Linked DNA regions of Neodiprion lecontei. The protein of the gene in region 1 interacts with the protein of each later gene in a pairwise test. Links are inferred from orthologs where the notes say so. Each region holds a gene or a part of one and is shown on either strand. Other genes may lie near its edges. The genes, in order: unconventional myosin-IXa and cdc42 homolog.

Evidence for each region.
Region 2: the proteins of unconventional myosin-IXa (region 1) and cdc42 homolog interact in a two-hybrid assay, tested with the Homo sapiens proteins (3 studies listed by BioGRID and IntAct). The link is inferred for Neodiprion lecontei from reciprocal best matches to the Homo sapiens genes MYO9A and CDC42.

The regions. Positions count from the first base shown.
Region 1 is NC_060265.1:23,645,481-23,650,333, reverse strand, and holds the start of unconventional myosin-IXa, read left to right. Parts: upstream 1-1,850; 5' UTR 1,851-2,225; intron 2,226-3,485; 5' UTR 3,486-3,536; exon of another isoform or gene 3,537-4,071; 5' UTR 4,072-4,354; intron 4,355-4,607; 5' UTR 4,608-4,616; coding exon 4,617-4,853. UniProt on the Homo sapiens protein: Myosins are actin-based motor molecules with ATPase activity. Unconventional myosins serve in intracellular movements. Regulates Rho by stimulating it's GTPase activity in neurons.
Region 2 is NC_060263.1:36,016,553-36,022,132, reverse strand, and holds cdc42 homolog, read left to right. Parts: upstream 1-2,012; 5' UTR 2,013-2,101; exon of another isoform or gene 2,102-2,221; intron 2,222-2,720; exon of another isoform or gene 2,721-2,743; 5' UTR 2,744-2,767; coding exon 2,768-2,945; intron 2,946-3,271; coding exon 3,272-3,381; intron 3,382-3,731; coding exon 3,732-3,929; intron 3,930-4,014; coding exon 4,015-4,104; 3' UTR 4,105-4,165; exon of another isoform or gene 4,166-4,705; 3' UTR 4,706-4,926; downstream 4,927-5,580. UniProt on the Homo sapiens protein: Plasma membrane-associated small GTPase which cycles between an active GTP-bound and an inactive GDP-bound state. In active state binds to a variety of effector proteins to regulate cellular responses. Involved in epithelial cell polarization processes.

The DNA.
Region 1 (4,853 bases):
AATACGTGATAAATAATAGCGCAACAATTTTCTTTATCGTTACAACAATCACAACAACAAACTTCGAGTTTCAGTGTTAAATAAAGTCATTCAAATGCGGAAAAGTCTGGTGATTTACCTACTTGCGGTAAAAAAAATAAAAAGATGAAGGTTATCATGTAAACGTATCGAAATAAATCTAATGTATAAATATCCCCATACGCAAGTAATTGTGTCCTCTGTTTTTTTTAACGCAGTCAAGGGGTTATCTCAGTGTAACGGGTCGAAAAATAGCTGCTTTCCGCGATTTTTTTTTTTGAAAGTTGAAATACGTCAATCAATCTGATTTTTTTATGTCAGATCAAAGCATTCACGAAGAACAGAAAATGAATTTTTAAATGTTAATTGTAATTTTTTTACATTTATTTTACATTGTTGCAAATCACTTGGAAAAGAAATAAGTCCACGGTGTATACGGTTGTGGCCGTAAATATTATCTGAAGCTAAATTTTTAAAAAGGTTATTAATCAGTATGAAAGCTTGTTATGGAGGATGTTTGTTTCAATTAAAATTGACAAAATGTCGGTGGTTTGAAGCAAAATCATTGAATTTAGCTTAGTTTTTCCGCAGTTTTTCTATTAAAAAAATATGTTTCTAAAACAAAAAGCTTCCATAGCAAGATAAAGAATGTCGTGATGAATGTTTGTCCAAATTTGAGACGCATAGCTTGAAATCTCTTCCGTTGAGAGTGTACACCGTTTTGAAAAACCACGCGTCGAGAAAAACGCGTTTAAAGTTTCGAAAGCCGAATTTTCATATAAATTGTTTACTTCTGATCAATCGGCGATGCCAGATCCATACAATGTCCCTTCCGCTTTCTCAAAATTGTTTGTTATCAGCAGCAATTTCATTTTAACGAGCTGTTCTGGCTTCTTTAAAGTCCAGAGAGTTTCGGTGGTTAGCAGTTGAGATGCGCTCTGCCTTGTAATTTGCATTACAAAACACTATCGACGGTTGATTTCGTATGCATTCTTTATCAGCGGACAAGAATTGATCTTGGTCCGATCTGACTACAAACAGTCAACACAAAGCTGAAGACCGAATCCGCGAATCAATTTTGCGTAAAATTTAACATCACCATTACACTACTTGCACTTGAGCAACTGTTGAAGAGCGCCGAACATTAAACCATATTCAATTAAACCATAGCTGAAACTTTTGTCAATTTTCACATCGGAATCCGGATTTTTTTTGCACTCTTTTGCCGCCGAAGTACTTGCGAATTCAGTATCGGTTGCAATGGAATGTCGATTTGTTCCTTTGTTCCACGCCAGGTCTTACGCTTCTGCTCAAATCACTTTTCCTAAAAAAGGCTGTAGCGACCGAAATTATTCGAATTACGGCCCAAAAATTGAACAGCATGTTTATAATTCTCTATCCTATCAAATGATGCAAAGGGAAAAAGAACTCCGATTTTTTGAAAATTTCACTTGATAAATGTCTTACACCCGCTGTACGCGAATGCATGCTTAGTTGTGCACCCTGCAGGCGCAAAAGACTAGATTGTAGATTGTTTGTCCACCGCGAACTCTCGGTTATCGGTTCCTGCTCGTGCATCGAGATAATCATTTTAATATACAAAATTTTATACTGATTTCATGACTAGTGACAGTCTGTCCGGGCTTTTTTTCATTCTGGTAGTAACTCATGAACGAAATTAGCGGGCCGAGCGCCAATCACGGTGGTGGGGGAATGTAGGTTTTCGGCTTCTCAGCTATGAGCGCTTCCGAAGGCATTTCTCTTCTCTATCGATACCGTCCTGACGGTCACGTGGCTGGGTCGCCAGCAAATAGAAACCCGCCGGGAGACCCACGTGATCGTAAAAATCGAAATGGTGGATATATCGAGACGCAGGATCCGACGACGAGTTGAAGGACGATAACTGGGCAAGGGCCTAGTGGCTTAATCATTGTCCTGGAATAACTATCCATCTGATTTTATCTCGTTCGTAGTAAGTAGTGTTCGGTCGGTGACTGTGGAAACTTCTGACTAGTGAACAGTATCGCTAAACGCTATAACGGTGAAGTGTATTTGTGCCTCGAGCGAAGGGGACAGACCCGGACGGCAACACACGGGGCTTAAGAAGCATGCGTGAGAGCCGAGATTTTTGTTGTTCCGCGTACAGCAGTGTTTCTGTCACTAGGAATTTCACCGCAAAGCCCATCGAATCCTCGGCAAGCCGTAAGGTATTGGTGCATCCTGTTATGTTTAGTCTATACCGCCGATCGGTTCCCGACACCCGCGGAAGTTAATGATCGCCGTAGCCAGCCTGGTTCCAAAATAAGATCGTAGGCCAGCTTACAGAGTTTGACAAGCCCCGATCTAGCCCAACACGTTTATGATTCGAAAAGTGCGCTGGTCAGAATTGACCTATTTGATAACCCGTTTCGACGTGAACGTGACGTTTCTTACGTCGAAATTATTGTTCGATCTCGGCTTATCCTCACAATACTCTAATTATCTCCAACTAGTCATGATCTCTCTCAAAATATTCACGTTGCAATATCCACATCATACATGACTGATGACTGATCGCTTTACTGAATCATTTCGTTCATTTGATCATACTCAACACATCCTCAGACAATTAATTATCTCTACAGCCATGGTTGAGAAAAAATACGTATGCATCAAGTCAGAATTAGATTTTGTTGCAATACAACAATCCATTCGGTCTTTTTTAACACTTTTTTCCTACCACGAATTCATCGTTTTATTTAATATTCGAATCAAACGAGAACAACAAGATATTTTTACCAAAGATTCTGTCTGAAATACATTTTGGCGTGGATCCAAAGTAATTCGCATGAATATCGAGGAGTTAAAAGATTGTTTAAAAATATGCCAACACCAGGCTCAAAATATCTTTTATTGAATGCCAAAATTGTTGAAATTCGTTATTCAACGTTAAACACTACTACATGATTCACAACGCTTACGAATTGTGTATGATACATTCTTGCTGTGAGCAGTGATAACACAGTACAATGTACTCCGAAACGAAGAACTTAAATTGAATATATTTTTATTATTTACAATTATTCACATTTTGATTGAGATACGACTAATGCTTACATTATAGTCATGTATCAAAAATAAATTTTTCGGAGAATGATCCTTTTAGATGGTATCATGTTACGTGGTACTAGAAAATTCTCAATGCACATGTATGTACATACATAGATTAAAATCAGATACGGGCATCTAGTTCTGTTGTACTATTGAAAGAATAAAATTGCAGAATGTTATCGGGTATTCATTATCATCATTTTTTACTGATAAGCAAGTACTGATTGTTTTCAGTTCCTTACCCTAAGTAAATAGATTTTCTTATAACATCCTTGTTCATATTGATTAAGGTTCAAAGAAAGTAAACATCCATTTTCTATCACATGATTTTTCGCAGAAATCATTAATTAATATCTGTGTTTTATTTTTTGTTTCAGGAGCGCTGATTTTGCGTTATGGAATGATTCGTTCTATTCATCATGTGAAATGTAACTCAAATGATCGTACTATTGATTGAATTTAATAACCATCAAACACATAATACTCAAGGCATAATAGTGCTGCCTAACTCCAAGAAATTATAGATTTTTCTAGTCCATTGGAAAAATTGTGTAACAGTCTCAATTTCAGCAGCGATAGTAGCAGGCGAGAGTTGAATTATATCATACAAATTATTACAAATGAGTGATCAAACCAGTATTTGAAGGAATTTAGTTGTTATTGTACAGATGTAGAGTATATTTTGGTTTCCGTTCATAATTGAGACTGTTAATTTATGTGTATTTTATTAGTTAAGGGACTCCTCCATTGATTTGCAACTGTATATTGAAACAGTTTCAAAAAAGCTTACAATATTTAATCATATCACTGAAACAACTATTCAACTTGGCAAAATAGTTTCTAATTGTATCACGACGAACAAAACTAGAACAACATTTATAATAATCAGTATATTAAAATGACAAACTAATGCTACATAAAGTAACATACTAATTAATATACTTTCATGATTTGAAATAAAAGGTTGGTCACCAGATTACTATGTGAATGCGGTTAATGGGGTACAGCGAAGAACTGTCAAAGAGTGTAACTTTCAAGTGTTTGAGTAAAACAATATTTAAAGTCATAAAAAAACACAATTAACCGATATTTCTAAAGTATCAGAAGCTTATTAACAAGATGTGTAAAAAGTATTTTAAACACTACCAACGTCAGGCGGATACAACGTTGCAGAGAGGAGATGAAGTGGTTCTGAAGTGTTTTATAGACGACATAGGACAATCTTATTAACCCTAGTAAGAGCAAGGTAAAGCCAATCATGCGTTCATATTGATTAGAAAAAAACTAATATTTGTAATATTTATAAGCATTTGTTGTATAGGTATGAGTATTCAAAGTTCAAATTTTCCTTATGCAAACAAAAAGCTGGATGTAGTTAAGTTTTCTTTGAACTCAGAGTTAAATAGAATTTTCACGACACAAAGACAAGTTTGTCTTTGTTCTTAGCATGTACCTAATTGTTGCTATTGTTAAATTAACTATTATCATTATTCATTCAGGGTTAAAAAATGGACAGCAACGGATCAGGAGTAGTGCAAGTATTCGTGGGCCAGTGGAGCGCTGAATACGAAGCACTCTCAATCAAAGCCACGAAACAAACATCATCCGCAGAGATTGTAGAATGTATAATCGAGCGGTTAGGATTTGTCGACGCAACCCACGCTAACAGCTATGAGTTAGCCGAAGTTGTTAGCAATTCTGTAGGGCAGGTGTGCAAAGAGAGAAGACTCGGACCAACGGAGTGT
Region 2 (5,580 bases), on another chromosome or scaffold:
TCAAATTTTATTTCTCAAAATATTATGGCTTGATATATTAATGCATGTTGTGTCGTCTCATAAAATATGTTTTGCATCTTAAAAAGACAATTATACATTACCACGCGATGCCTATTTAATTTATTTCACGTTCCCTGATCTAGTATTACAACTTAATCTTGAAAGTAGTGATCTATTAGATAATATTAATCATTATTTAACGTGTTGTCATCCCCTTGATCAAAAAATGAAACATTATCCAGAGTCATCGATCGTCTGTATCAATACTAAATAAAAAAATAAAAAAATGAATAAATGAACATCAATTAAACTTCATCACTTCGACGGATAATTGTGCACGTACTTCATGAAAAAATACATAAATTGAGGGAAATGCTAATGTTTAAATTAGAAGCTATATGCTTGTAGAAAAACTGTAGGATGAAATATTTTTAGCATCTCCATCAATCTCGGTAAGTGAAATGTTTTACAAAAATCTTATCAAAAACAAAACATAAATCGGTTTTAATTGTTTGGATTAAATTCACGATGTGTTTCAGGAATAATGAGAAATTAATACGATTGCACACACCAATCAAAGTTAGAAATTGGACACCAATAAGTCTTGACTACCGACATCTAACTATGATACATTGTACAATTGGCGAGGAAAAGAATTTGAAATATCTATCATGAGACAAAATTTATCAATTACCGTGCGCCTTATTGAAGGCAATCAAACGTCAGCATACTCTGATGGTAAGAAAAATATACGCCTAGCTGCAAGCAACTTAAGGTACAGAGTGCTCCGTCCAGTAGTGTCTGTTCTTTCAATTATCTACGCGTTATGATTTATAATTCATATTAATACGACTCTACATGGTTATTTCGTTCAACAGTTTGAAGCTGCTGGACAAATTTGAGTGACCGACAATCCAGCGGCTCCGGCAACCTCCAATTTCCTTCATCTACCGACTAGATTGTAATTGGTAACAGTTTCTTTCCCCAGCTTAATTCGATAAAAAAACCGCAGGAATCGGTCGTTTCCACCATTTACTGAATCCGTTGACTGAAGAATGTAAAGATACCGCCAACCACCTCCAAACAGCTCCTACGTTGACTGAAGAATATAAACACAGTTACCCCTAATAGGCTTTGGTGTGACAACCTTATATCGTCGTGCGCTTGCACCCCCTGAGATGTTCCAACGGTAGAGTTGAGAGCTTATTGCAGAACATCAGAGAGTTACCGATTTCGACATGATGCTGGCTGCATTCACCTTCCGAGTAACACAGTCTTCGCAGTGGTAAGCCCAAGCCAGTACTTACTTACGTAAATACTTCACTTGCGACATGCTAAAACAGCGTTTCGATTGTATGCCTACGAAAATTCAAGATTGAGAGAGCAAATGAAAAGTTGTTGGGATAATTATGAATATTAATGTTATAGAATACATGGAGGAGTAGGGGGACGAAGGTGGTCGGAGGTGGTTGGAGGTGTTCGGAAATGGTAGGAAGTGGTAGGCGCTGGTAGGAGGTGGTAGGGGGTGGTAGGAAGTGGTAGGCGCTGGTAGTGGTGGGGTAGTAGGAAGTGGTAGGACGGGGACGATCGAATTGATCGACAATTCTAAGTTGCAGTCGACAAGTAGTCTTACGTACTCACTTTGTACCGACTCATTCTCAAGCTTCCATACCGACACAACTTTGACTGCTACAAATGTCGGTGCGAGCCCGTTAGGTAGAGTCGATAGAACAAACCCTCCTAAGCTCCCAGGCCCACCTGGGCCCACTTGCCCGCCGAAAACTGGTCACAAAAATTTACCCAGGGGTATCCGTCTTTATATTCTTCAGTCAACGCTGAAACTGTAACTACTAGGTCGAATGATAATCGTTTTCTATTACAAGCACAGGCCTTTTCTGCAAACGATGATGCGAGCGGATGTACGGTCTTTGCTATTCTCGCCACAGTTAGCCGATGACGTCATCGCGCCTGATTCACAGTAACCCCACCAGATGGCGCGAAGTTGGCAAACCCGATCGGCGCCCATTTCTCTTCCAAAGTTTCTTCTCTTATGAAGAACATAGTCTTCTGACAGTGAAGTGTTGTCGACGCCCAGTTACTTGTGAGTTTTTCGGATTTACTTGATCAAATATCAACCGCCCCGCAGTGTCGGGCGTGTAGCGTAACAATATCACAACTGCATACGAGACGTTGGTTACATCTGACTTCGGTACAAGCCTAGGTTCGTTGACCGGAATTGACAATGTACCTGTACCCAGCAAAATGGCCACTCTAAAAACACATTCACCATGCATATGCGTATTTTTCTCCAATTAGAACCTCGGTTTAACCGATGTACACAAGCGGCGTCTCAGCCTCCCGGAACTACTCCGCAATCTCCCTCTCATTTCTATACTTAATTACAGCTCGTAATGAATACGCATGCAATAATTCGTGACAATCGCATTGCTATCCCCTAACTCTATTACTATCTCACGTATAGGAGAGTTGCTCACATGATTGTACGTCCTCCTCAGCTGTGTGGCAATTTCAAGCATTAGTCAGTCCTGTCACGCGGAAACCTATTTTATTTTATTTTTTCCCCTACACTGTTTGTCTATTCACCACCCCCTTTGTTTTTTATTTCTGCCTTTATTTCATCTCTGAATCACCCTTCGAATTCCTAAACTGCCTGTAAGCACGGTTTAGTAGACTTATATCTTATCTATTCCAAATTCCAGTTCATGATTCGGTCTATTGACAGGTAGCAAAGAGCGAGAAGACAAAAATGCAGACAATAAAATGTGTTGTGGTCGGTGATGGAGCCGTGGGTAAAACTTGCCTCCTTATTTCGTACACCACAAATAAATTCCCCTCCGAGTATGTGCCAACTGTATTCGATAATTATGCAGTTACGGTTATGATCGGTGGAGAACCATATACCTTGGGATTATTTGATACCGCTGGTGAGTATTACTTCAAACTTCATTTCTCTATTGGTTAATTGTAGTGCATTTTGAAATTTTTGTTCCGAATCGTTCTTCACACGGCAGATTTTGGAAGGATAAATTTTTGACTAGATTTGAAGATTCACAATTGGAAACAAATCGATAATTGCTGAGAAACTTTGTTTACAAAAAGTTCTATAGATTACCATGGATAAAATGATACTGAAATATTGTTCAAAGCAAGTTTTTGTTAGAAATTTATAATACCGATGTTCAATTATGCCACTAAATCACTTTCCCGATTATTCAATGCTTATACGAACACAAATTTCATTATTTTACAGGCCAAGAGGATTATGACAGACTACGACCACTGAGTTATCCTCAAACGGATGTGTTTCTAGTTTGTTTTTCAGTCGTCTCCCCATCTTCATTTGAAAATGTTAAAGAGAAGGTATGAATTTTTTTTTCATTCTCTTCTTACGAATATCAGAGTGATAGCGAGCTTTTAGTTGATGCGAAAAAACAGAACCGGTAGCCAACCCTGAAATGTTTGCAGTGACATTTAAATCAAAATTTACCCCAACTATGATGCAAAAAGACTTCTCAGATTGTTGCTCAGTATCGAATATTATCGGCTTTATAATTCATATAAAATGTTGTCGCTACTTGCAGTTTTGTCGAGGCTCTCCAGTGTTTGTGAATTACACGATACTCGAATACTTATAGACAAGAATATACGTTTTATTGATATTGTCCGGTGAGTGTATTTGAAAATAATAACATGTACTTATGTCTTATCAGTGGGTACCAGAGATAACGCACCACTGTCAGAAGACGCCTTTCCTATTGGTCGGAACTCAAATCGATTTGCGAGATGATGCAGTAACTATTGAAAAGCTTGCAAAAAATAAACAAAAACCGATAACAGGAGAACAAGGAGAAAAGTTGGCCAAGGAGCTTAAGGCTGTGAAATACGTCGAGTGCAGTGCTCTAACGCAAGTATGGGTCATTTAACATTCATAACAAAATCTCGTCAATCCTCATGTATTTGTAAAATTAAAATATTCACATTGTACATAAACAGAAAGGATTGAAGAACGTGTTCGATGAAGCAATCCTGGCTGCACTTGAACCTCCAGAACCTGTTAGGAGAAGAAAGTGTGTCCTTTTGTAGGGAGGATATTTTTAATCTCCATCCCACTACTACGCGAGCACGGCTGATAGTGCCCGACATTGTAAGTTTTAAATATACTATCAAAATAGAATGGTACAGGCCTTGAACAATATATGCTGTATCCATTGATCAATTGGCATAAGATATTCCAAGGAACCAGACGCTTAGGTATTTATGTATTCAAAATGAACAGCAATCTTGCTAAATACGTCTTGGCATCATAATTCACAAGTTTATCAAGAATGAGTATATGAATGTTAGGAATAAAATGGTTCTCCGGAAAAACGATGGAAATAATTTTCACGGGGAACAGATGTTGGCTAGGATTATCAAATTATTTGAGACAAAGACGGGCCCCCTGCATTGCCTGATTTGTATTCGTCAGGCTGCTTCAGATTGAGGAAGAGACAGTATTTTCCGATTTATAAAAAGAAATAGAAAAAAATGAAAAAAAATGTAACACTGAACGTTTATAGTGCAATTAGTTTACAAACACGCATTATACATTATACATAATATTTAGATATATATTTGAGGGTAACCATACTCAGGTAAGATAGATTAATATCCTTCGTGAGATAATGAATTACTTTTTGTTTAGGATGGACTACGGTATTAAATGTGAATACCTTTCATGATCCTATAAAAACAAAAACAATAAACACATAAACATGAAATGAAACAGCCATCCTGGACGGGAGTAATCCTCCATGAGTTCTAAATAGGGAGCCACGCCACTCTAATATTGAGTAATCAATAAGGCATTTTTAATAATAAGTTACTAATGTGAATTTTTTAATAAATTAATAATGAAAGAAACAATTAAGTAAATCCGTTTTTTTCTTGATCAAAAAGCGCACGGACGCCAGAGAGAATATTTTACCGTTTCCGTTATGATTCCGATAGAGCAATTTTGCGGCCGGTGACAATGTTAATGTCCACTTGTCACTTGACGTTGAAAGCCACGATGATTGTCGCGTTTGTCGTTATTCGAATCACAATGAAAACGACTGACGAGACACACCTACGATTCAGTTGTCGATTAATACATCGCGCGTGTGTATTATGAATGCCCTTCCCTCGTACGTCCGTGCTGGTATCTTGTAAGTTAAATAAATCATGTATATTATATCTAACACAGCGTGTATATTATCTGCATTGTATAACTTTGTTCAATCAGAAATGTTGAATTCAGTGTCGCTCGTCTTATCGATTTCTTATAACTTACTCACAATTACACGGTTACGTGATCGACGCGTGCATTTACGAGAAAACCAATAACACTATTTTCACTAATTATCATACTCCAATATTTTAAATATTACGAAGCATTTTCTCACAGAGAATTTCAGTCTTACCACATTTTATTCATTTCCTGCATACCTTATTTCGATCCTAGTCGCACTTTAAAATCGTTACTATATTCAATCGTTATTAAAAAACTACGCGAAATTTCAAAAAATATATAATACAAGT